Linked DNA regions of Lytechinus pictus. The protein of the gene in region 2 interacts with the protein of the main gene of each other region in a pairwise test. Links are inferred from orthologs where the notes say so. Each region holds a gene or a part of one and is shown on either strand. Other genes may lie near its edges. The genes, in order: ribonuclease P protein subunit p20-like and survival motor neuron protein-like.

Region 1 (11,438 bases), on a different chromosome or scaffold from region 2:
TATATACCACAATACTTTCTTTTGAAGCGGTAAAACATTGTTTTGAATTATTTTTGGGGCAAGTTAAATATATTTGCAGGCAAGTATTTTCTAACTATTTAGAAATTCACTTGCCCACCCTGCCCCCCCCCCCCCCCTTCCACCCATCTCTCTTTAGACATCTGAAACCAAAATTTTATTCTTAACAAAAAAGACTCAAACTATCAATGTCTTTCAGTGCTTCCCAAACTCACACAAAACTTTATCTAAGCCTTGCTCTCTCTCCCCTCCCTCTCTTTCACTCTCTCTCTCTCTCTGACTTTCCATTCCTCTAATCCCATCTATTACCTATACTTTACAAGTTGGAGGCAATGACATCATCATATCTACCATAATCAAATTCACCGAAAGCAACATCTCTTGCCAGACAAGCTTAATGACCTGATTCTACACATTTCCTGCAATCATTTTCCATACATTTGAACTAGCTCTGATAAAGTACTAATTTTATCCAACTAAATATATTTGTAGATTGTAGAAAGCGGAAATATTTTTTTCAATAATATCCCAAATATTTATTAGAAACTAATGTGAGAGTTGAACTCGTCATTATCATATTTGATTCATATAACAAAAAGAAACTGAATATATAATATCATGATAAAAAACATGAAAAACAAAAGTTAAATTGAATGGAGACATAAAAAAACTCTCCTTTTTTTAAACTCAGAATCAACACTAAGATACAAACTAATTTTGCTATATATTCCTGATGGGCTGTATTTGAAATGGGAAAAAATTTTACTTTCAATTATCCACAGACCTGTGGTAAAATGCATACAGTATTAAAAGCACAACTTGATTGGTAGATTGACCAATAACACGCATTCTCGAGAATGATCTGACCAATGAGGCGGTGAGTTATATAGTGCACACAACTAGGGTTAACAGAATCACTCCTAACCTGTGCACATTGATGTATGAATTATATTCACAGGTGGTGTATATTATAAGCCGGGTGACGAAGGGCCATAATACTTCACTTGTTATTACGTATTAAACAGCTTTATATTGATATGTCTTTGGGCTCATCCAGAGTCTATTGGGTAGCCTATGGCTAACAGGGAAAATGTCAAGAGAGAAAATATACACTGATGTTTATGTACAACAGTTTTATAGTGGCATTTATATGTGACAAGACAAAGGTGTTTTACTCTAACAATATGTCAGATATCATTCACACAATACCGGGAAAAAGATAATTATTTAGTTCAGATTTGAACGTCTTATGGTTATTACAGTTATGTTTCATTTCTTTTTTTGTATTGTTATTTATTTCTATAATAATAAAAATGTATAGCATTTATGAGGAGCTGATGGCGCACTATCCATATTTAGCTCCAGCTGCTAAAGGTGCTCAGTGCGTTCAAGGAATTTATCTTACCGGGTACCCATTCACCTCACATGGGTCGAGTGCAGCGCACTGTGGATCAATTTCTTGCTGAAAGAAAGTATGACATGGCTAGGATTCAACCCATGACTCTCTGTTTCAAAGTCTGGAGACTAATCCACTGGGCCACCTATCATCTATCACTTTAGCATCAAGTTACATAAATGCATTTGTTATTCCAATAATCCCATGATTTTTTTAAAAACAAATTTGACTTCATTTTATTTTCAAATCAAGTACATGTACCTGTACAAAAATGGCTAAACTACACTGCTTTCGTTTTGTGTGTTTTGTTTTATCTTTTACTATTGCAAGTTAGAAGCAAGTGCTAAAAGATCCTGAAATCCTTATACAAAGATTATGTGAATCACAAAAGTCAACAGGTTAACTCATTGCAACTTTGTCATAATCTTTGCATGAACTCTTGAGCTAATGAGAGCTTTACAAATCATGTACACATATCAAACATGGTGTGGCAAAAACTACTTGATCCCATTTACATAATTTAGAGACATCGATTTTCTGTCTGCCAGTATTAAAATAAAAGTGGAAAACTAGTTTTAGTTATTTAATTTTCATGCAAAATTCACTGAATTTACCTTCACAAAATTGAATTCAAGTTTTTTGCCGTCTACATTTTCTTTCAAGGTTGAAATGGAATTGCAGGTTTTCAGAAATAGAATAGGCTGTTTTTTGTTCAAATGGAAACTAACTGCCCCTAATAATGACTCTTGTTTAATTGTAAATAGGTCTCAAAAATATTTTCTGTTACCATAAATCATAATTCCATAATCAATACTTTAAGAGAATGCAAATTTGTTTTTCTTGCAAATATGTGATCTATCATAGATTTAACCATGGTAACATAATTACCAGAAACTTAAGCAATTTTCACAAAACAAAATATCTATTGCAATCAAAATTGCATGAATTATAATGGCATTATTTCTTATATGCTTCTTTTCATCCAAGAGTTTGAGTATTCTGTACTTTCAGTTTAATTGTTTTCCTTCAAACACAAAATGAGGTGATTGTTTCTCTCATGTGGAATAACCATAAACCAACATTCATATTTTTGAAGAATAAAAGGTTTATTCCTCCATTAACTGTTTTAATTCCCATGAGATCAAATCATCATCTAATATGCTCTGATGTACGTTTCAGTGAAAACCAAAGGTGAGTCAACTGACACTGCTACAAACTTAAATTCTAAAACCAGAGAAAGGAGAGAAAAGATTAGTTCATCATACAACTTTATCATCACCACGGAATGTCTGCATCCTTTCTCAAAAAAGACCTTGGCCATGGTTATAAGTCACATCACTTATTTGGCCCATCCATTTTCTTGCTTTCAGTCCTAAACACTCTAATATGGACAGCAGAGTTGCTTCTCTCCCTCGTATCAAAGTCCCCTTCATCGCAGAGTGGTTCGATGTCGTCCACCAGGTTGACAGTGGAAGTGCTGATGGATATCTGGAGTGTGCCAAGACTTCGGGACTCCAACTGAAGAGCAATGTTTAGTGCTCTGTTGATAGCTGCACCAAGACCATGAATGAACACCTCTTTCTCTCCCCCGTCAAAGAGTTTCTCACACTTTTCCATCTGGCTGGCAAAGTTAGACTTGCGAGTCACGTAGATGTCATTCTTGCGCTTCGGAAGTCTGCGGGGCTGACGCTTCCGGATACTCACCGCCGCTGGATTGACCTTCGGTTTGGCCGACTTGTGAGGGCGGGCTTGGGGGGTAGCCGGCTGTGCATCGCCCGAGGCCATCTTATTTTGAGTTAAACTTTCAATTTTATTTTCCCGAGTGAAACTGTCAAAGGCAGCTCATCCACCGTGAAGGGTTGATATGAAGATAATCTTGTCCTTATTTTGTATCTCGTACTCTAATTCACCCTGGATAAAAGGGATGGTAAAAATAACAGCTTAGAAGAAAGGATAAATGTAAATGGTTATCAGATTTATGGACATTTTAGATAACATATTTATTTTTCTCTTTTCTACATGATGCAATATCTCTATACATTACTGTTCTAAATATCAAATCTAAGTTGATGGCATGAGCAAAACAGACCCTGTTAACACAGTACAGTACTGTGAATATCAAAACAGAACTATATCTATTGATAAAAATAAACTTACAAATCGCAATGTATCACTTACCACTGCAGTACACAAGAAATAATCAACATCAAACACTCTTAAGAGGTTTGACATAGATTTTCCTAAGGCACATACTTTGCTTCATTTTAAGAAGATTGTGTCTTTTGTGTCTTCTTTGTTTGTGCAATCTATGAAATTTGGAAAGGATAACACTTCATAAACAAATTAACACTACTTTCCTAAAATAATGCACACTCTTAGGTTTCCAATTTTCAAAAAAGTAAAAGGTGGTAAAATAAGTCTGCAAAAAAATGTGTTGTCCCAAATGCAGTAAGACTGTAAGTTCCCTTTTAAGTATGAGTGATAAATCATCTATTTATAGGCATTATGTATTTAAAAAGAAAAACACACACAGCTTCCAATTAACATACCAAATCATGCTTGTTTTCAAAGCTGATCAATAATAAAGAATAAAATGTATGTTTGAATGACATCATTAGGTGAGAAGTAAATCTAGAATTCATTTCATAATCATCAACTATGTCTAGCAATGTCTTACCACTAATTCCCAATCAGCATCATTTACAAGGACCAGAATACCAGGTCTCCTGTTCAAAAGAAATGATACAAAATTACAGATTTCACTATTAGAATAGGCAGTTGTCAATCAAAACATGAAACACAATATCAACATAACCCTGTTAAGAAATGCTAGCTTTCATACCCCAACCCACATCTACCGGCAAAGTATGCTGCATGAAATTTACTCTGCAGACAAAAATATTTACCTTTATAACATTCAATAGCCAACTATACAAAAACCTTGTTTGACTGAAGAAAATGAACACTTCCATGTTTACTTTATGCAAAAATGATACATAACAAATGAAAAATATGTCTCAAAAGTTAAAATGAAGGTAAACTTGAAAACAGACCAGGGGGCCGTTTCATAAAGCTGTTAGTAGGTTAAGAGTGACGACTGGTGATCCTTTCTTGTGGTGATATTCACCATTTTGTGATTATTTAGTGCATAAGAAATGTTAACCAGTCGTTCTTAAAGTTGCTCTTAACTTACAAACAGCTTTATGAAACACACACCTGACCTACAAGTAAGATACACTGTAAACATTTTTTGAATTCACATATTACAACACTCAAGAAAAGACCTGTCCATCTGTTTTATACTCCTTTTCTTTTTTTTGTGTTGATAGAAAAAAATTGAAATGCTTACACCGTGTCTCCTTGGATGAATAACTCTGGTCTCTCTTTCAGAAGGTTATCTTTGATCCAAACCAGCAATGTCTTGATTGTCCCTTTGAAAAGAAATAAGAAAATTAGAACAAAATAGTTCTCCATTTTATCTTTAAAATAAAGTGTGTCCTGAAATAAGTAACCTAAATCAATTATGAATAAAGTAATCACACTAATTTGACAACATGAAGAATAATTTTTTTTTCCTTAAGCAAAAGGGAACATACATGTATAATACCAATTTAATAAAAATCAGTATGTTCTGTCTTCAACCATTTTCAAGTATAAGAAAAGACATTTATTGACAATGAATCCCCCAAAATAAATTTAAAAAAAAACTATACCAAAATGAAGTTCAGGAGCGGATCCAAGGTTTTCCAATAGGGGGGAGGGCACTTTCCTGATGAAAATGTGACAAAAAGAAGGGGGGGGGAACACACTTGGGTAAAAACGGCATGTTTACATTAAAAATTTGGATTATGGCTCTCAAAAGGGGTGGGGGGGCGGGCCAGCTGTGCCCCCCCCCCCTAGATCTGCCCATAGAGCTATTAGCTCTATGATCTGCCATTGCTAGATTTAAATATGTTGTAGTAGGAGCAAATATTCTAAAATTTATTCTTATATTCTAACAGAACTTACATTTGTTGTGACTGCAGTTCAAAACAGCATCATGATGCTTGATCTTGTCAAATAATAACTCTGCTCCACCACTGTAAGGATGATATCATTAAAAAAATAATCAATATACAAAAAAATAATCAATATATGTAGGTCTAGATCTACATGTACACGTAGATTTTGAAATAAAAGGGAAACCAACCCTAAGGTCCATTTGTTATGATAAAAGATAAGAAAAGAAAAATTAACACTGAAAATTTCTTAAAAAATAAGAGAGATATCACCTGATATGCGTCTCGTAGCTTGGCGAAGAACAAAAAGAACAAGATGGCGACGTAAACATCGCGGCAAGTTTTCCCTGTCTTTTTATAATTTTTTTTAATGAAATTTTGTTTAAAAATGAAATCAATATCGTATAAATGTCGGAAATAAAGTTGTATCCCATTAGGGCTAGATCTTTTAGAAGGAAAGTAGAAATCTTGGGGGCGAAAATTTCAGTTTTTTTCCCAGTACACGTAAATAGATGGGGCGCAATCCCTGGCTCTGTGGAGAGTAAGCACACGTTAGCGAATGATTTTTACTCTCTGGGTCTAGACCTCCTGGCTAGTGGGTCCTGCATCGTAAGCATCCAGATCGAGATTGGCAGCGGTCGCCGCAGACTCTAGAGGACTCTAATAATATAAATTAATAAATGAAAAACGACACTTCGCCCGGGCAGAGGCGCGGCGTGACGCATAACGCAGACCTCTCTCCCTCCCTTGTTTCAGTTCTCCCGCTGTTCGGAGATCGGCAGGTATCACTGCAGAAGCCAGAAGTTGAGTCAATGAGTCTGGACTCTGGTAAATCGGCCGTTCAGAAATTGCAGAAGTCAACTACTATATATTACTAATACTAAATACTAACTAAAGTAATGTCATGAATATACCTCGAGCGAAGTTCGTGCAGGCTCCACTCCACTCCACTACCGCTACACTACACTCCACCTACCATCAACCTAGACAGCTGGCAGCCGTCTGTTTTGAGGAGTTTTTTAACATTTTTTTTTTAAGTTCTCCTCATACACAGACAGCTCGCTAGCGTGCAGCCACCATTAGGGGACTTGCAATGCAAAATCCCCCCGTCGGGGCTCTTCAATTTTTGTCTTTAATCAATAAAAATTTTGAAAATTAATGCGACCAAAATGCAAATTGATATTCCCTCTTGGCATTAATTGCCAAGAAACGGAGAAAAATCGAGTTAAAAGGAACAAAAACAGTGACTTACCTCGGCTGTCGCGCAAATTCACTTCCCCGTTTTATCCGATCTTAAGTACATAAACATATGGCCATTGAGTCCCCTGTACAGATCGCGCTAGAACTTCGGTCTCTGTATTTGGTGAGTGAAGCCAACGGAGTTCCAACGGAGTTCAGCTGAACAACCAACATAACAGAGACCGAAGCTTTTGGTCTACCATCAACCATGCCTACCCGAAATTCGGGTAGGTGGAGTGTAGTGTAGCGCCTAGCGGTAGTGAGAAGTGGAGTGGAGCCTGCACGAACTTCGCTCGAGGTAGTCATGAATATAGTCTACCGGAGATCTGCCGTAACCCCACGGCTACGTACCGTACGGTACCGCCACCGGGCACCGCCACCGGGGCACCGGTCCGATGGCGATGCGATGCCGATAGAACGGAAACCGTGTTCAAATTTCAAATAGGCAAATATATACACATTTCCACTCGATTTACACGCCGATATGATTCCAAATAAACCGGAAATAAAATAAAAAACATAATCACAACCATTGTTTAAATATTTTGCCTTAAAATTAGTGATATTACCTGAATTCAAGCTTCACGTGAATTTCACCAGTGGGCGCTGCCATATTTAATTTACAGGTACGGTAGCTATAATACTGCAAAGTCTAGATCTAGACAATCTCTCTTTTTTCACACTACACTGTAAATCAAGCACTGTCCCCGGGATGTGAACTTGTTTTTCATACTCACTTTTAAAAACCCTTTTCTTGTGTAATATACTATTACTAAGGCAGATATTTCCATTTATTTCAAAATCTCATTAAAAAAAACAGAATGGAAAAGTAATTTTAGGAACATTCTGAATCTGACCAAGACGTTTGTCTGAAATCCTTATGTCATTTTACTTAGCAGCAATTTAATTTTTCGTGTTATGTTTATATTGTAAGTTAGTTTGAGTAGCATCACTTAATTTCAGCAACTTGAATACAATTTGTGCAGCAAGGTCTCTGCCAATTCAAAAAACAAGAAAGGATTCATCATGGGTATTTTTCGTAGGCGAATTGGGTTATAGAGTAAGGTGATGTAACACAAAAATATTCTTAGCCGCGCCTTTAAATGTGTGGGCCTAAATCAATTATGAAGAGAACTGTCATCACATATCCTTTGATAAGACAATAGTTCAAATTTACCGTATCAAGTGGGTAGCCGTGGGTAGGCCCCACTTTTGGCCGAAAGTTGTACACAAATATTATGTGACACCCCCTCCCCAGTCCTCCCCAGTGCGTGAGGATTAAAATAGGACAACTGGGCCCGTCTTACAAAGAATTGCGATTGATCCGATTAAAATTTTTAATATCAACTGTATGGAGATCCATCAATGTCATATTTTTTCCTGCAGGAATTATATATAATAGGTATATAAACTGTAAAGAAGAGAAGCTCACTGAATTTCAAGAAAATGATAAATATATGAATTCATATCTAGAAAATATTTTGGAAAAAACCCATGCATTTCAGATTTTGACGTTGCTGGCTTTCCATAGTTGTTGTGGTGTCTTTATATCGTATTTTTTTCCATTTTGTTTTACTTAACAAGACTTGAGAAATCGTCTTTTCTTTGTGGGTGAGCATAACCAGTTAAATCAAGATAGTAGAAAAAAGAGAAAAGGGACATGGCAAGAGAGAGTTAGTAAAGATTCCCCCCAAGCACTCACGATTAATAATAAAAAACAACATAATTAGTGAGCAACATGAGAAATAGGACATTTCAACCAGTAATTAACGGGGTCTTTACATGTTAATGCAGGATCTGACCATATACAGGTGGATAAAATAAGCTCCTCTGTGGATGAGGCCCATCAAATTCGGGATTTTTTTATATCTTTAAACCATTTCTGGTCTTCTTTATTTACATATAAAACAAAAAATAAGGTACATGTAATTCAATATCCCTTTTCAAATGAACCCACCCCCCCCCACTGTTATACAGTAATTTGAATTGACATCAAAATTATAAGGGGGAATAAACAGATTCGGGATTTGATGGTGATGATGAGATACCCATGACCAATAGGGGGCGTTATTCAAATCAATCAAACAGTGTCCATCAAACCAGGCTGAGTGGTTCGGCGCGTGAACAAGTGAAATTCCAAGATTAATTCATTTATTTTCTCATCGAGAAAAACACTATCAAATATATAATGTCAAAGGATGTGCATTGATGTAATTATTAAGGATATGGGGAAAATCGCCGTATTCGCGTAGTCATTCGAATGGTGCAGGAACTGTCTTATTCGATCAACCTACATTTTGTTATAAGAATTATTACATTTCAATTTGTCAAATTTCAAATTCAGTTTTATTTCAAACAGAACATAAAGTATAATACAAAATATTTTCATACATTTATACAAAAAAGTTTACAGTTCGAATCAGTGTCATGTATACATCATATCCAACGACATAAAATTAATGATACATAATCTTATATTCTGTAGACAATTTATATTACATAATAAAAAGGGGGCATCTGTGGAAATGGGAGATTCACTCAAAAGCATATACAGCTTGAATAATGTGAACCTCACGAAAGAAAGAAAGAGAGAGAGAGAGTTAAAAGACCCAGATGATTAAATACAGAACCATTTTGGGTCCTGTGAACAATAAAATGCATCAATAACATAATGAGTGAATTGAAGAAAACAAAGATGCAATGTAAAATTATGAACACATAGAAGATAGGGTGGGATGTACGCAAGATTATTTCGGACACGAAGCAAGGCCAATTTAGATGATCACACATTCATATTTCTAAGATGAAATATAGAAAATCTCTACCACAAACGTTTTATTTTATTTTATTTTTACCTCAGTCAAACTTATGAAAAAAAAATACTATGCAAGGATTCAGAAATCAACCATAGTCAGGAATCACAACAGTCATTGAATGATCTAAAGTTATATTAATAATATTGTTACACTTTCAAAAGGGTAAGTCAAGCTAATCGATGTGTTCGTGAATAATTATGTGACCGACCAAGAAAAAAATGGTGAACATCAACTAATTCATTTCTTAGAATCTTCCACACTGTTAAAAATATTAGTAATTTTACAAAGAAAAAGCGTAAATTTACAGGATATTTGCCTTTTAAAAAACAGACGACACAATGATTTAACAAACAAAACGTATTTATGCAGTGATCGTTTTTTTTTACGTTGATTGCAGTGCATCTATCGTTTAAATAGTGTTCGTATTTCTAAATTAACGGCGATTTTCATGTTAAAATTGTGGGATTAGAATTTTTTCTACAGTTATCCGTATTTTTGCATTTTTACAGCCCATCGTAATTTAAAAGTTCACAGTTTTTGTTCACACTTTTTTGCCTTTTAAGATGATACTGTAACTTGATACTTTTTTTAAATGCATGATGTTCCTGGGGGACTTTGCTATAAAATTAATTATAGGGGTCAGGACTTGGGACAACTCGTCAACAAAACCCGTAATTGCCGCCAAAGTTTTCTGAAATGTATATGCAAATACTTTTGATTGAAGAGCATTTTCCCCGTTAACTGGTATTCGCGATTTTTTTTTAAAGAAACCATGTCTTTTAAAAGATGAAATGAGATTGCTCATTAGAGGATTTGATAATGTCCATTATACTGAAAAGAGATACGCCACCAAACGTGAGTTGGTCGCTCGTGTATCCCGAAATGTATTATTGGCATATTTGATCAAAATCGGACAAGGAATAACTAAGTTATGACATGTTAAAGTTTTGCATTTTCCAGTGAAACAGTTCTAGGCATGTCTTCATGAATATTCATTGAGCAAATTGATGATGTCGTATCCCCACTTGTTCTTCTGTATTTTATTATATGAAATTAGGTTTATTCAAATTTTTTCCTCCAAGAACAAAAAAATTGGATTGACAACCGATTTAGTGCATTAGATATTTATTGCTGCAACGTATTTCATCATAAGGGAGACATATCATTCACACATGTATGAAATAATTAAACAGTTATGATTTCATGCAATAACATGAGAAAAAGGAAAGTGGGGATGTGACATCATCTGGCCACCTAATGAATATTCATGACGACGTACATAACTGTTTTCACAAAATATTGCTAAACTTTAAGATTCAATAACTTTGTTATCCGATTTTGATGACATTTTCAGCATTTTGCTTTGTGAATTTTACTCTATTTATTTAGATATAAATAATTTCAGCCCGGACCACCCTTTTAAAGTCATACCAATAGCCTTGTTATACTGGCGCCTGCTATACTAGTGGCGTCAGATACTGACTTTGTGTATTCGGCGGCTCAAAGCGAATATGCAGTCTTATTCGTCTTTGTTTTGTAATAACTTTCAATTGGCTTTAATTTCTTTTAAAGAGATCTTTATTAATTGCCGATAGTTCATGCGGCCATTTTATATCAGCCTTTTAATTCATTTTATATCACCTTTTTTCATTCTTTTCTGTACGTACAGATTTTCATTTTTTAAGGTTAAGTTGCCAAAATGATGATACAATTTTATTTAGCATGAACAAGATTGTGTTATATTCAATTAAAAGACAAAAGCATTCAACATCTATAAACAATATCCGAATAATAATGCCAAGTATGCTTGTATCTCAACCGTCCGGGACTGAACATTATTTGAGCGATTAACATTATTAGGTTTTGTCAGCGTTGAATTTGGTATAAGACTAAACTACACCAGCACGCATTTTTTGTTTACTGCACAACAGACGTAGCAAAAAGTTATAAAACTTTATCTAGCAGCGATCG
Region 2 (13,562 bases):
TTTTTCAATTTCCTTCATTCTTTCTTTCCTTAATATTTTCTTTGCTTCCTTCTCCCTTCCTCTCCTTTTCGTTCTTTTCTCCTTCCATTATTTTCTTTTTGTTTCATTCTCTCCGCCCTTCATAATTCTTTCCTCCCACTCTTTCATTTTTCCTTCTAATTTTTCCCCTTATTTTAATTCTTTCTTTTGCTTCCTTCCTGTGTTTCTTCTTTCTTTAAAAGAATGAAGGAAACATTTTTCTTTCCTCCTCCTTTTTTCTTACTTTTTTTCCTTTCTCTCCTTTATTTTTCTTTCACATATTTATCCATCTTCCCTTCCTTTCTTTCTATATTTATTTCAAAGAATGATGGAAACCTTTTTTCTCTCCTTTATTTCTTTCATCCTTTTATTCTTTCTTTATTTTTTCCTTCTGCATTTTCCCCTTAATTTTCTTCTTTCTTCTCAATTCATCTCTTTTTTTCGCTCCTTCATTCTTTCGTTCACCCTCTCTTCCAATTCTTTATATTTTTTTTCACAAGTCTAACACTGTGTAGCCTTCTTTGTTGATCGTTTTATTAAGGCCTGGCTCGTTCGATCCCTCTTGCAATTGTCCCGTATTTCATTTTGTGAAATCTCGTCACCCTAACTTAGCTGCTACGGCATAGCCATACATGTAGGTAGGGAGTTCGGTGACTTTTTGAAATCTAGAAGAATCCCAACAAATTTGACATTGGAAAGCTTGTGAAATAAGAAAAATAATGGTGCTTCATTCAACTCATTGTCTGATATATTGATGGAGATATTCCAATTTACAGGGGAAAATATGCAGATTTTGTTCTGTCAAAAAAAATATTAAAGGCTCGTTTGAGTGGGGGAGACAGTTGCTTTTTGAAATCTTGAAGAAATCCCAACAAATTTGGTACCATTGGAAAGCCTGTGAAATAAGAAAAAGAATGGTGCATAAATCAACTCATGATGTCAAATATTGACAGAGATATTTCTGTTTAAACGGGAGAATGTGCAGATTTTTTTTACAGCAAAAAGTAGATTTTCATAACTTACACAAAATGCAATGAATGGTACTGTGTAATACTTTTTTTCAAAGTGCAATGCGCTGCTATGCGGGGCAAGGCATGCCCTTGAATTATACATCATTTTATTCATAAAACTTCAAAGTTTCTCATGGTATAGGTTTCTATAGGGTTTTTCCTCCTCCTTTAATGGCTTCGTATTTGTTTTATACATGTCATGTCACACTCCTAGTACCAATGAGGTCCAAACATTACATGTATGGACCTCATAGGCGACATCTGTAGTATTTTGTGTCAGAAATCTTTGTGAAGATGATTATTTGTGTATTATAACATAAGTACGAGCTATCGTACTGTCTGTTCATTAAATTTTTGTTTAAGAAAGTTAAAGCATTGTTAGCAATAAAAAAAAATTGAAAGAAATGAAGGGGAACTTACATTTTGACGACTTTTTCCAGATTTTATTGCCAGTTGCTCTTCACTTCTGACTCGCGATCGAAGCTGATATGCAGATCACGTGATACGCGTTCTCGTCAGCTGATCGGTTGGTTATTCTTTTCGCCAGACGTTGATAATTATATATTTCATAATGCTAGCATTCATCGCAAATTTAGGTGAAAGAGATTGAATTTAAACAGCGCAAGCTTTAATTTTCTCAAAAATAACATTTAATTGATTGCACAAGTTTCGCCTTGGAACAAGTAGGATCATTTGGTCCCATGTTTGCGTAACTACGGGGGGTGGGGGCGGGGTGTCCCTACCACTATACACCCACTAGCCAGCAATTATCGTTTTTTCTCTTTTTTTTTAACCAAAATACCTCCCCCCCCCAAAAAAAAAATAAATAAAATAAAAATAGGGTTAAAGAGAAAGAGAATTGAGGAACACAATATGCTTTATTTTTTCCTCTTTTACTGTTTAACGAGACTTGTAATCAAATATTAAATGGGGCTTAATTAGAACAGCCTTTTTTAAGTCAATTAATAAAAAATATTCCTCCTCGGGATTTGAGCTTTCATGAAATATGAATCTTTTTCATGACTACCGAAAGCGCTAAAAATGTCCACAATTTTAATTGGTATATAAAGCTTTAGCTCATGCGTTGCGCCCGTCTTATTTTAATGTTATACAATTTTATGCTTTTAATGAATTTCTAATTCTCAGATCTTGTCGCAATCCGATTGGTAGCTATAATGAATGATTATTATGTTTCATGAATTGTTCAAAATGTGTCTCTCTATCAGTTTTGAATATTTAAAAAAATGTAAGCTCATGCTTTTTGCTCGCAATATTTTGATTAGTAAGAATTTCTTCTCTTGTATATGCGAGTTTGAGTAAATAACTAGAGAGAGGGGGGGGGGGTCCCTCAGCTACTTGTCCTCGCTTATTCCAAATTTTTTTTTATATTATACTCGTGTTCAGAGTGTTTCAAAGTCTTTTCTGATTTTTTTAACACTTTTTATTGTCTCGGAGCTTCCCTCTATTTCTTTTAACTATGATGTAGCCCTTTTTACTTGTTTCAGTTCTTTTATGTCTCATTTCATTGAAAACATAATTATTAAACTGACTGACTTTATTACGAAATTTTGATATTATTTTGTCTTGTCTGTTTGGCTTTCTTTTTTTCTTCTTATCCTTCTTCTTACTTTTTCCATTTCCTTATTTTCTCTTTTATTTCATTTCATGAGGCATCCGCCAACTTATATACAACAACAACAAACATATTTATTCGGTGGTGTGCCCCTCTAAAAAGGGAGGAAAATAGGAAGGAAAAAAAGAAGAAGGGAAGGGGGAAAAAAAGAAAAAAAAAGAAAGATGATGATGATGAAAATTATCTTGGTGATGATGATGGTGGTGGTGATGGTGGCGGTGATGATGATGATGATGATGATGATGATGATAATGATGGTGGTAGTGGTGATGATGATGAGAATGAAGTTGGTGATGATGGTGATGATGAAGACTAGATGTAATTTTGTTATTTTGTCTTTGAAAAAATTAAGTAGTGCATAGGTGAATTTATTTAAAGTTAATTATGAAAATAGCAGAAAAAATAATTTGAAAAATTGGTATGCTTTCAGGAAAAATCCATCCCCCACCAAAAAAAAATTAAAGGTGAGATTTTTTAAATAATTATTTGTGACGGCGTAGGCCTTTGCGAGCAGCTATATCGGATATAATTATGGTAAAAAGTAAATGAAATGTCAAGAAATACGTGATAATGACTTTTATTGTACATTCAGTATATCAATAGATAACTTCATACTCTCTCCAAAAAGAAAAAAGTGGGTCATTACGGACCATTAAAAATGGGAAATTTTTGCATTTTATATTACATAGAATATTGAGCAACTGCTCGTTTATGACGTCACAAATCAAGCATTCGAAATTCTACTAACTCCATTTTTTTTTAATAACACCTTCACCGATGTTTTGAAATTATTTTTCTTTGGCCTATATTTTCACAATCTTTTTATCAAGGTGAAATTCCCCTTTACAAAACAGTATCCGCATGATCAGTGTGTAGCGGTAAATTATTCACCTGATAACTATAGACCTATCTATAATTCATGCGGCTATGTTTAATAATATATTGCTGTGAATAGAATGAATGTCATTAAAAATCGACGCGCAAACTGAAAAAATATTTTTTCTGCCCCGATAATTTGATAACCCTAAACCTAACCCAATTTCTAAGTATTTTTATCATAAACAGGATAACTATAGACAATTAATTGAAAACTTGATATTCTTTTGCGAAAATGAATATGAAGGACAACTTTTTAATAAAGAACACAGTTTTAGAGCGTGATTTATACCTACAACCGCTTAATCCTGTCACTGTCGGTATGACATGAAGCAGTTGGAACTTTCTGATTCCATCAGCTTAATAATTTTTGCAACAGGCGCCAGTCCAACAAACAGACAGACATTTGCCTAAACAGACAACATCTCAACCTCTGCTCATTTCTTTTTGCACGGACACATAAAATCTCGACCTACCCATCACTTTTCTCACTATTTTCTCCTCCCTTTTATTTTCCATTAATTTTTCTTTCGTTCACTTTTTTTCTGTCCCCTTTTTCCTTCTATTTTTTTTTCTCGTCTCACCGCTTTTCCTCATCCCCCAGCCCCCGACGCCCACGCAGATTCGCAAACAATATCAAGTGTACTGTTAGGCAAGGGCGGAAATCTCTCCCCAAAGGTAGCCGGGACGAGGGGCTGGAAAATTTGACAAGAAAAAAACAAACAAACAAAAACAAAAAAGAAGGTTTATCACCCCAAAAAGAAGGTCATCTTGACCAAAAGAAATTTGATAAGCAAACAAGCAAAAAAAAGGGCACCCCAAAAGTAAGATCGTCTCTTCCAAAATACATATTTTATTTCGATTTTGAATGAAAAGACCAAAAATAGTAGGGCCTAGGGGGATGACATTTCATAATGTGCCCCCTACTATTCTAGGTGAGGGGGACATGTCCCCCTGGAATTTGCGCCCATGTGGGTGGGGGGTGTTGCGCCTCCCTTTCGGAATCATTATGGAAGAGTGTAAATACTCGCTGTGATTTCGATCTCATACCTATAAAGTATACTATAGTATAAAAAAAAAAATAGAACAGCTACGCCATGAACACAGGCCAAAATGCCTAACGATTTCTCCGCGGCATTAACAACTATCGTAAAGGGCGCTCTATTTATAAATAAAGATGGACATGTAGCTGTCTATGGCGACAAGATTTGTCGCGAATATTTCCCAAGAATTGTGAGAATTGGGCTGAAAATGCAACAAAAGAACCGGTGAGTATGGCAGTGTGTCCAAACTTCGCGCGTGTCCATACTTCGCGGACGGTCCTTATCTAAAAAACTAGCCAATATCCTTAAAATCTGACATCATCAACGTGAAAAGCGACCTAAAATTACCGTATAATGAAAATTTCTTTAGGATGAGTTCAGTATTCATGAAAATATTGGCAAAAGATCGGCAAATTTGTCACCGCTAGCGCCCGTTTTGAAGAAATCACAAGCATCACGATATCACCATTTTGCAAGCAGAAATCATCAAAAATGTGAGTTAAATGTGGTACTAACCGATTCCATAGCATTTTGCCATCAATCTGATTTAATTTTTCACTTTTTGAACTTGAGTTTTTGTTTAAATCTCCACAAAAGCGTTGGTGCGCGAAGTTAGGTCACACTTTTCTGAACGGTTTTCCAGCACAGCCCGCATTCGCCGATCGGAATAGAATTTTGAGATCGCGATACCGGCGAAACCCCTTGACCTACTTTAGTCTTTACATTTTCGTCCATGATTTTATAGTTCACGATCTTGCCGTCAATGTGGTAACTATTTCTTGAATTGGTTTTGTATAAATTATGAATATTTTGTGAACAAAATTAAGCCTGATGAATATTTTTGAAAAGTGCGCGAAATTTGGACACCCCATCAATCATACCGATCAAACAGTATCAAGCTATTTAATGAAATATATTTTATCAGTAGGCCCTATAGGCTATACATGTATAGTTTAACAATTTCTTGATAATAAACTTTAGTTCTAAGCTAGGGCGGCCCAAATGCGCGTGAGTGGAGTCCCAGTTTATTAACACGGGTAAGTATTGCGGTGTTGCCTAGAGTGTCATGTCATGGAAGCACAGACAGATACAAATTCTGAAACTTGAAAGTGGCATTTTCACTGAACTCCCTACCAAAGGCAAAGATAGGGGGGAGTGGGAGGTCTTTTCAGGAAAATACGGAGTGAATTTATGATGGGAGATGAAACTCGGCCTTGAAAAGCAAAGGGGAAGTCCCAAGAGAAGAAAAAAGGGTATGAAAAAAGGGGTAAGGAAAACTGAAAAACTTGATTCAAATTTTTTTTTGAACACCACCCATATTTCAATATGTGGGGCTAAAATAAGTTTGATTTCAACTTCATTGACTTCCGAAACATAGCCAGTACACACACCGCGGCAAACCAAATTGCACTAATAAATAAGTTTATGTGCATGATCAGAAATTCATTCTTAAAGCCAAAGGTGTTATTTTATTTCTAAACATCCAAGCAGACTTTCCTACCTGATCAACTCTGAAAACCACGTCGCCAGAACGTTCAGCCATGATGATGTCGCTCGGATCGTTTCACGCGCGCCTCGTTTTCAAGCTTCATATATAGGAATCAGCGAGTTTCAAGGACACCGTAGTAGCGTTTGTACAGTTTGTATACTGTGCGACTTTATTTATGTTTAGAAGTTGAATGCCATTTATTCCTAACTTGTAACAACTTTTAATTGCATTTATTTCCTCTGAAAGTTTACAACTTCCTACAAAATTTTACTAAACGCATGCCCGGCCCTCGCCCCACTCCTCTCCCTGACCATTCTAAATATAGGGTCTATATTTATTCATTACTTAATTAATATTTATTTTTCTATTTATGTATTTATTTTATTGTATGTGGGAGTTGGGTATCTATCAACAACAAAACTGCATGAATTTTTCTTCACTGTTCAGTGAAGCTCAGAGCCAGGGCATTTTTTGTTAAGCAAATAAGCAGATATTTGCCGCCAAGAGTCTGCTTTGAAACTATGGTTGCCGAATTTTCTTACCAAAATACTGAAATGTTCTTGATCAGGTTGGCAACTGCGAGACATTGTTTCGTATAAGATATTCCTCATATAATTTCACATTTTACCCTTTCATTTCTTAGTACCGTACTAGTGATTTTTTTATATTCTCCATCATGGATTCTTTTTTTTTTTTTTTGGGGGGGGGGGACAAATGCCCCTCCCCATCAGTATGCTCTGAGCGTATCTGTGTGATGACACTTTTGGATGGGGTAGAATTTCTGATGTGTAAATACCATGAAGTAATTAATTTTTTTTGCATGTCAAATTTATAAGATTATTTCAAATTCTTATTTTGCTTTATACATGACTGATGTTTATTCATGTTATTACTTGTCTTATAGTGAGAGTGTGGCTAGACATACATGTACTTTTTTAAAAAGTTGGAAAAGAGGCCATATTAATTCCTATTGGTATCAGCACAAAGTGTTTATCAGCCAGTTTATAATCCAGTGCTTTGCTGTATCCCCAACTTCTGTTAATTATAATTTGTAAAATGAAGGGAGTAAATTCATACAATCAACATACAAAATAAATAATTCTTTGAAATTGATTACTACAGTTCTGGTTCTTTATTGAAAATTTGACAAACCCTGATAATCGACAGCAATGAATCAAGTTTGAGGTGCAAGACAAGAAGCATTTCAGTCCACAAAGTTCCAGGTAAATATTATTCAAACAAAAATTTGACATTTTCACTTAAAACCTGAGACAGTCAAGTTATTGTGGTATGTTCTCAAGTACAGTTTATGAAGAAGCAAATGTTTACCAACAATTTAAGACAATTGACATTAAATGTACAAATCCTGGAATTACAAACTGGGTTATATTTTTATTTTTATTCAGAAGAAAAGAAAGTCAGTGCATGATGATCACTTTAAGTGAAGGATATGGTAATGTTTGCGTCACACATGTGCAATTAACAAATAAGACAAATTTAGGATTTGAGCCATCTGAAATATTAAGACAAACCATTCTGATACACATGGCTTCATCTACAAAGTGAGATTTTTTCAACGCACAAATGTTGATTTCCTTCTTAAGAGTCAAACCAGAATAGAAGCTCACTTCATAACATTTCAGATGCCTTTTAAAATGATTGCTGTCATAACTTATTTCTTATCATATGCTTATGTACTTGGGTTGCATGCATTTTTTTTTCTTTCTCCACATAGATGCATAAAAATCTATAAAAGCACCTAGCTGACAATAACTAGAAGCAAATATATCAATCATAAGTGGTATTTAAGTGACTAAAAAAAACCTGACTTATGTCTCTCACATTCACTAATATTTACACAAAAAGTACTAAAAACAAGAATATAACATAATCAGACTACATATGGTTACTTCTAATTTAAAACTGCTACTATTTACATAAGAAAACATATAAAAACTGAAAGTGAAAACCTATATATAGACTACTTTCATAGCATTTTCATTATGCACTTAGCTGTTTTACAGCAGATAACCTACTGTCTAACCCCTATATCCAGTCATACTGTGTCAAAAAGGCAAGTGAAATACATAATTTTAATTAGAACATATATTTTAGGAATATAGTAAAGTGTCAAATTTGATGATCATTTTTTGTTCCTTTAATTTTCAAGTGCTCACCACTAATGCCAACAAAGAAATGTTAAGGAGTATACTGCAATAAAATATTCACTGAATACACATAGTTCTTTAACAAATCTTGCACAAGTATTTTAGTCACAAAACCAGACATCTAACTGATTATCAAAATATATTCTCCATAATATGACGACCAAGAATAATTATTTCAAACAGCAACTTACATGAATATACTCCTACATAACAGAAGATGTCAATGAAAAATATACCAATGACGAACAAAGTTTGATTATCATAGTTGGAATTTAGTTGTTTCTGATAATGTTCATACTGCTATCCCAAGAAGCATCAAAGAATAAGTTCCATAGATTACATTCTCCAACAATTTTAAACTTAACAAATATAAGTAGACAAACACTGATAATCTGATTTAAAACAAAGTAATATCAACTAGTTAAGAAATGTGTATAAATAAGATGCTGATTATCAAAACAACTAAAAAGAGAATTAATCACTACAACTATATACAATTTACAATAAAATTGATGAGCTTCAAAGGGAAGAGGGTGTTGAACCTTAAAATAGGAAGGATAAGATCATTTTCGTTTTGTATTGGAGTTGTCCAAGTCACTGTTAATACATGAGCCTGTTTCTTAAATCTGCAACCAAATTTTTGGATCAATGCACCAGAACAACAAGATTAAAATACCCATTCTTTTAAGAAGCCATGCTCTGTGAAAACTTGCAGTTTCCAAAATGTCACTGTTTGATATTTAATTTCTTTCAATACACATTCAAATGATTTTGATATTCATTATGAAAGTGTAATCAGAAATAAAACCCCACACTACCGACTAACAAGGGAAAAGGAGAAACTCCTCTTTTGCCGCGGTGTACATATATTTCAAGTTTTAAGTAGATCTTTTGCAGAATAATTACAGATTTTCAATTAAATCGGCAGGCAATTTCAGTATGGTTATGCATTAAAAATGACACAGATATTCTATCGCAACACAAATTCACAAATTGGTAGGTAAGGCTTCAGAAATAGCAAATGGTTAATTCATTCAAAGTCTTAGCATTCATGATTCATGTCTGCAAATATGGCGTTACCAAATTTTTTTTTCTCTCTCAAATTCACTTCAAAGAACTAGTACAGTAAAATTGTCAGTATACTATGCCAAACACACAAACATGTAGAAACCTGCCTATTTCAGCCTTTGATAAAGAACAATATTTGGGGTCGATATTACGTTTGTAGTATTTGGAACATGACAACAATTTTCATGAACATAATGCCAGTATTCCATATTACAAAGCAAGGTGTTTGATCACAGCACAGTTTTTTACTACTGATTGCATTGATTCAATGTACCATTAATCACAAAAATCAATCATACAATCAGCCACTAGGCTTTACGTTATGGAACCACGATGTCTAGAATGCAATGCCACTGAAGATACATATGGAGATGGTCTCTCTTATTTAATAATCATTGAAGATTTATGCATTTTCATGATTATATCATATTTTGAAAAGTGAGGGATCTAAGTCAAGCAATACAGCCTTTTTTTCCTGAATCCAAAGTCCAACTACTAAATGACTTGAGACAAGACTTAAGCATGACAAGAAAAAAAAATTGTTTATCTCCTCATGATTTTCATGGTACGGGAAAGAAGGTAAAATCACAATGTCATTGTTCTCATGAATATTTTTACTGCAATTAGCTTTCATGTGTTGATCGGTACCACAAAGACATTTGATTTCTACAACATATGCTAAAAGTCTTGATACAAGCATGAGAACGATCCATTAGTTTTTATATGAATGTTAAGTAATTCCTTAAAAAGATGTGTGCGCTATGAACGCCTAGCTTAGCCGGGTAATATAGGAGCGCCTTGAGCACCTAACAAGGTGGATATGTGCGCAATATAAATACCCTATGTTATTATCATTATTATCTTTGGAATGCATGAGCGTCATAATCACTGCCATGCTAAAACGAGAGTAATAATGCGGAGAGCTACATGAGCATCCAATATTATGGATGTGTACCCCTGATATAAGATTAATGATTTTCAACACAAACTTTGACATACATTGCATTTCAACACTTACAGTTCATAAAATTTCAGCTGTAAGGTCTATACAGAATTCCCCCAAAATACCCATCTGTGATTGTTCCTACAATATTAACATTGGATAAATAACATTCGAATCATCTAAGGCATGATCACTCTGCTACGAGTAGAAGTATAAAAAGCAGCTGGTTAAAAGTTTCCATCTACTAGTTGATTAAACATGATTGATTGTTGACCAAGTGCAAAACTAGGACATCCTCTGCAACTTTTTAATACCTACACAAAATTTGTACAAAACTACTGTTAAAACCTCGCAAGTGACGATTATAATGATACGAGTGGTAATGTTGAATTCTACAGTGATTAAAAAGTGCTGTCGAAGTTTCATCAGTACACGTTACATTAGGGTGCATCTGTCTTCTCGACCCTGTATCGAAAAAGAAAGTACAACATATATTATATTTTTGTGATAAATGTTTCATTTTTTGCTTTTACTTAATTTTACAAGGTGACAAAAATACATCTAGAAATCATATCTATGAATTAGAAATATAAGCCATGTCACTATCATGATGGGGACACAAATGGTACATGTGGGTCGAGGGCTATTTCCATGAATTTTCAACATGATAAAGAAAAGACATAAATACCATCATATGGGTTTACCGTACCTAATTCTAGAAGAAACAGGCATTCCCACATGCATTATTACACAGGATTCTCTGCATCTTTTCAAGTATAACTTGAGATCAAGGGATTAACTTGTGCCAGTCTAAAGAACAACTAACACCCTTCCAAGCAAAAGTGACAAAAGGGGGATTATAAATAATACAATGGCATTGAAAGAGTCTTCAAATTACCCCCCCCCCCCCCCCAAGTTGGTATTCTAATTAGGCACATCCTGTTCATTGGTATCGACAAGTATCAATGCATGAATGCAATTCATGAGAGGAAAACTATACCACATAATTTTAAAACGATGGGAAATCGGTCTCATACATGTCCGAAAAGGCACATTTGGATGACTAGCGTGCCCAAATGTTTGCAGTACACAGAAAAAAGTATACTCGTTCATAGAATACAACCTGAAATCAAACCACCTTAACCCTTACAGAGCTATGTTACTTAGACCCAGCATGGCCGTACTGTGCAACATGTTGGAAGGAGAGGGATGCAGAATCCACCCCCCCCCCACACCCCTGCTTTGGGCCTTGTAGGTTTTTTTGTAAAGAAACACTGTTAATGAGCTCTACTTGAAATCACAGTGGTACTTCTTGTTGTTGATTTTTTGGTGCTGCATCATGAATAGAGATCAGTGCCTCAATCAATCATTAATCTAGAAATTTGAGGATAAGAAAAGCACACGTACCTCTCTGTATTCATGTGTTGTGACTTCCTTTATCACTGTGCGAGTTGCCATCAACTGCAATAAAACAATAAGATATATGATTAGGGAGTGAGACCATAACAGCTGGTGTTTGAAATTATCTGTTGTTTATGATTATCACTTCTGTGTCGCATCTTGCAAAGAGTTGTGACAGAATCAAATCAATCTCAAAATTGCAATTGATCTATATTTGTGTGGTTAGGAGATTTTCAAATCAAACGATATTCGAGTTTGATTTTCATCTCTTTCAACTCTTTGGAGGACAGGGTACTGGTGAATGTTTCATAAGATTAAAATTACACATGACATTACGCACAACTGGAACGTGTGCTCAGGTGCTATATAGGAATCATTTGGCCCAATTTCCTGAAGATCTCACACGGATTAGCATGTGTGGGACTACATCTCAATTGTCGGCCCGACAGTTTCAGATCTGATTTGTTATACATTGAATGTAGGAGCATCTGAAGAGTAATCATTTGCAGTGGATCATTTTTTCATGATAATCTACCCAAACATCATGGACAGAATTAGACAGCTCACAATGTCTATCTTTCCCAAAACTTTGTCTTTAAATGCCAATTATTGTGTTTTCATGGAGAATTTGATACCCTTCAGATATAAATAATCCAGAGTAGAACAAGAATTATGACCAGCAGACATTATTTAATGCCACTGGATATTGCCTTATGGTTAAATCATTATCTCTCTTTTCCCTGGCAAAACACTTTCCAGAGGCTGAGTAAGCTTTGCCAAAGGATTTGTTTTGATCGGTCTGATCACTATTTCACTTACTGGACATTACAAGAATCTTACATTCAATTTCAAGTACATTTTAGATGCCAAAATCAATCACAATTCTCATAATTAATTGCAAATTTGGTTTTTTCTTGCATAAACAACAAGTATAAACCAATTTCCTTTAAGCAAAAGTGGTTTATCACTTGTGAATTTGCGATTGACTGCAAATGTTTATTGCAACACTCCCTTAGTATATCACATGAGGTCTGAGAAAAAGTGCAGAGTATGTCTCCATGCCATTTCAGAACTTTCCAAATTGGCAACACTTACCTCCCCAGAAGCATCAACCAGAGTGGTTTCCACATTGTCCCCGGTGCCCCAAGACTCTGTGTTCTTGAAGACCAGGTCTGTGGGTGCGCTTTGGGACTTGCCACTGCCGGAGGCCCAGACAGTCACCTCCTGGCCGGCCTTCAGGACGTACTTGCTGGTGAACTTGTAGGATTGTTCGCTGCCACCGTCGGCACTGCGCTTCAAGTGCCAGCCGCCCAATGCTTGGTCCTGGAGAGGCAATGAAATAAAAGGGGATAAATCAATAGTTGATTAAGATGGAAATGATAATAGTAGATGTTTGAAGGTTTGGAAGGTGGTATGAACAAACGTGGAAGTGGTTTATGGTAAACCATGTGTAAAATACTGGCAAGGACTAAGAGAAAGTAGATAGAGATAAGTGCAGTCCTTAAAAGCACTGTAAACCAGAAAGAGTAGAAAAGCTTGATTAGACGGCAAGACGAAAGGCTTGACTAGGAGACTGGCTTGAATCGGCGAGTGGAGATGAAGAGCAGGAACAGATGAGAAGACGTGACATTTTAGGCAGGTTGACTGTCGGTCTTCTGTCATAAAACCAGACAGTCAACCTGCCCGAAATTTGAAAAACTTGAAAAAGTGTATCCTAAAGAAGAATAAAACTCTACTGACTTATGATTACAAGTTCACACGGGGATGAGAGACAATGAGTATGCATGCCAATGAACCCAGCGATAAGAAACTGCATATCCCTGAGGACTTACCGTTTCAGAGTTATTTTGTAGCTTCACAAATTTTCCTTCAGGGTCGCTCTCTACGATGGCCACGACACCATTGTTGGTGGC

Evidence for each region.
Region 1: the proteins of survival motor neuron protein-like (region 2) and ribonuclease P protein subunit p20-like interact in binary tests that used the Drosophila melanogaster proteins (3 or more experiments, as listed by UniProt). The link is inferred for Lytechinus pictus from reciprocal best matches to the Drosophila melanogaster genes Smn and Rpp20.

Annotation. Positions count from the first base shown.
Region 1 is NC_087259.1:13,424,020-13,435,457, reverse strand, and holds ribonuclease P protein subunit p20-like, read right to left. Parts: upstream 3,200-11,438; coding exon 2,750-3,199; downstream 1-2,749. Other genes in the region: ubiquitin-related modifier 1-like, read right to left, coding at 3,257-3,325, 4,092-4,140, 4,764-4,845, 5,423-5,493, 7,221-7,264. UniProt on the Drosophila melanogaster protein: Component of ribonuclease P, a protein complex that generates mature tRNA molecules by cleaving their 5'-ends. Also a component of RNase MRP complex, which cleaves pre-rRNA sequences.
Region 2 is NC_087249.1:19,884,641-19,898,202, forward strand, and holds the start of survival motor neuron protein-like, read right to left. Parts: upstream 6,124-13,562; coding exon 6,082-6,123; intron 1-6,081. Other genes in the region: lamin-B1-like, read right to left, coding at 10,684-10,713, 11,656-11,709, 12,745-12,972, 13,482-13,562. UniProt on the Drosophila melanogaster protein: Core component of the survival motor neuron (SMN) complex that plays an essential role in spliceosomal small nuclear ribonucleoprotein (snRNP) assembly in the cytoplasm, is required for pre-mRNA splicing in the nucleus and acts as a chaperone that discriminates target and non-target RNAs of Sm proteins.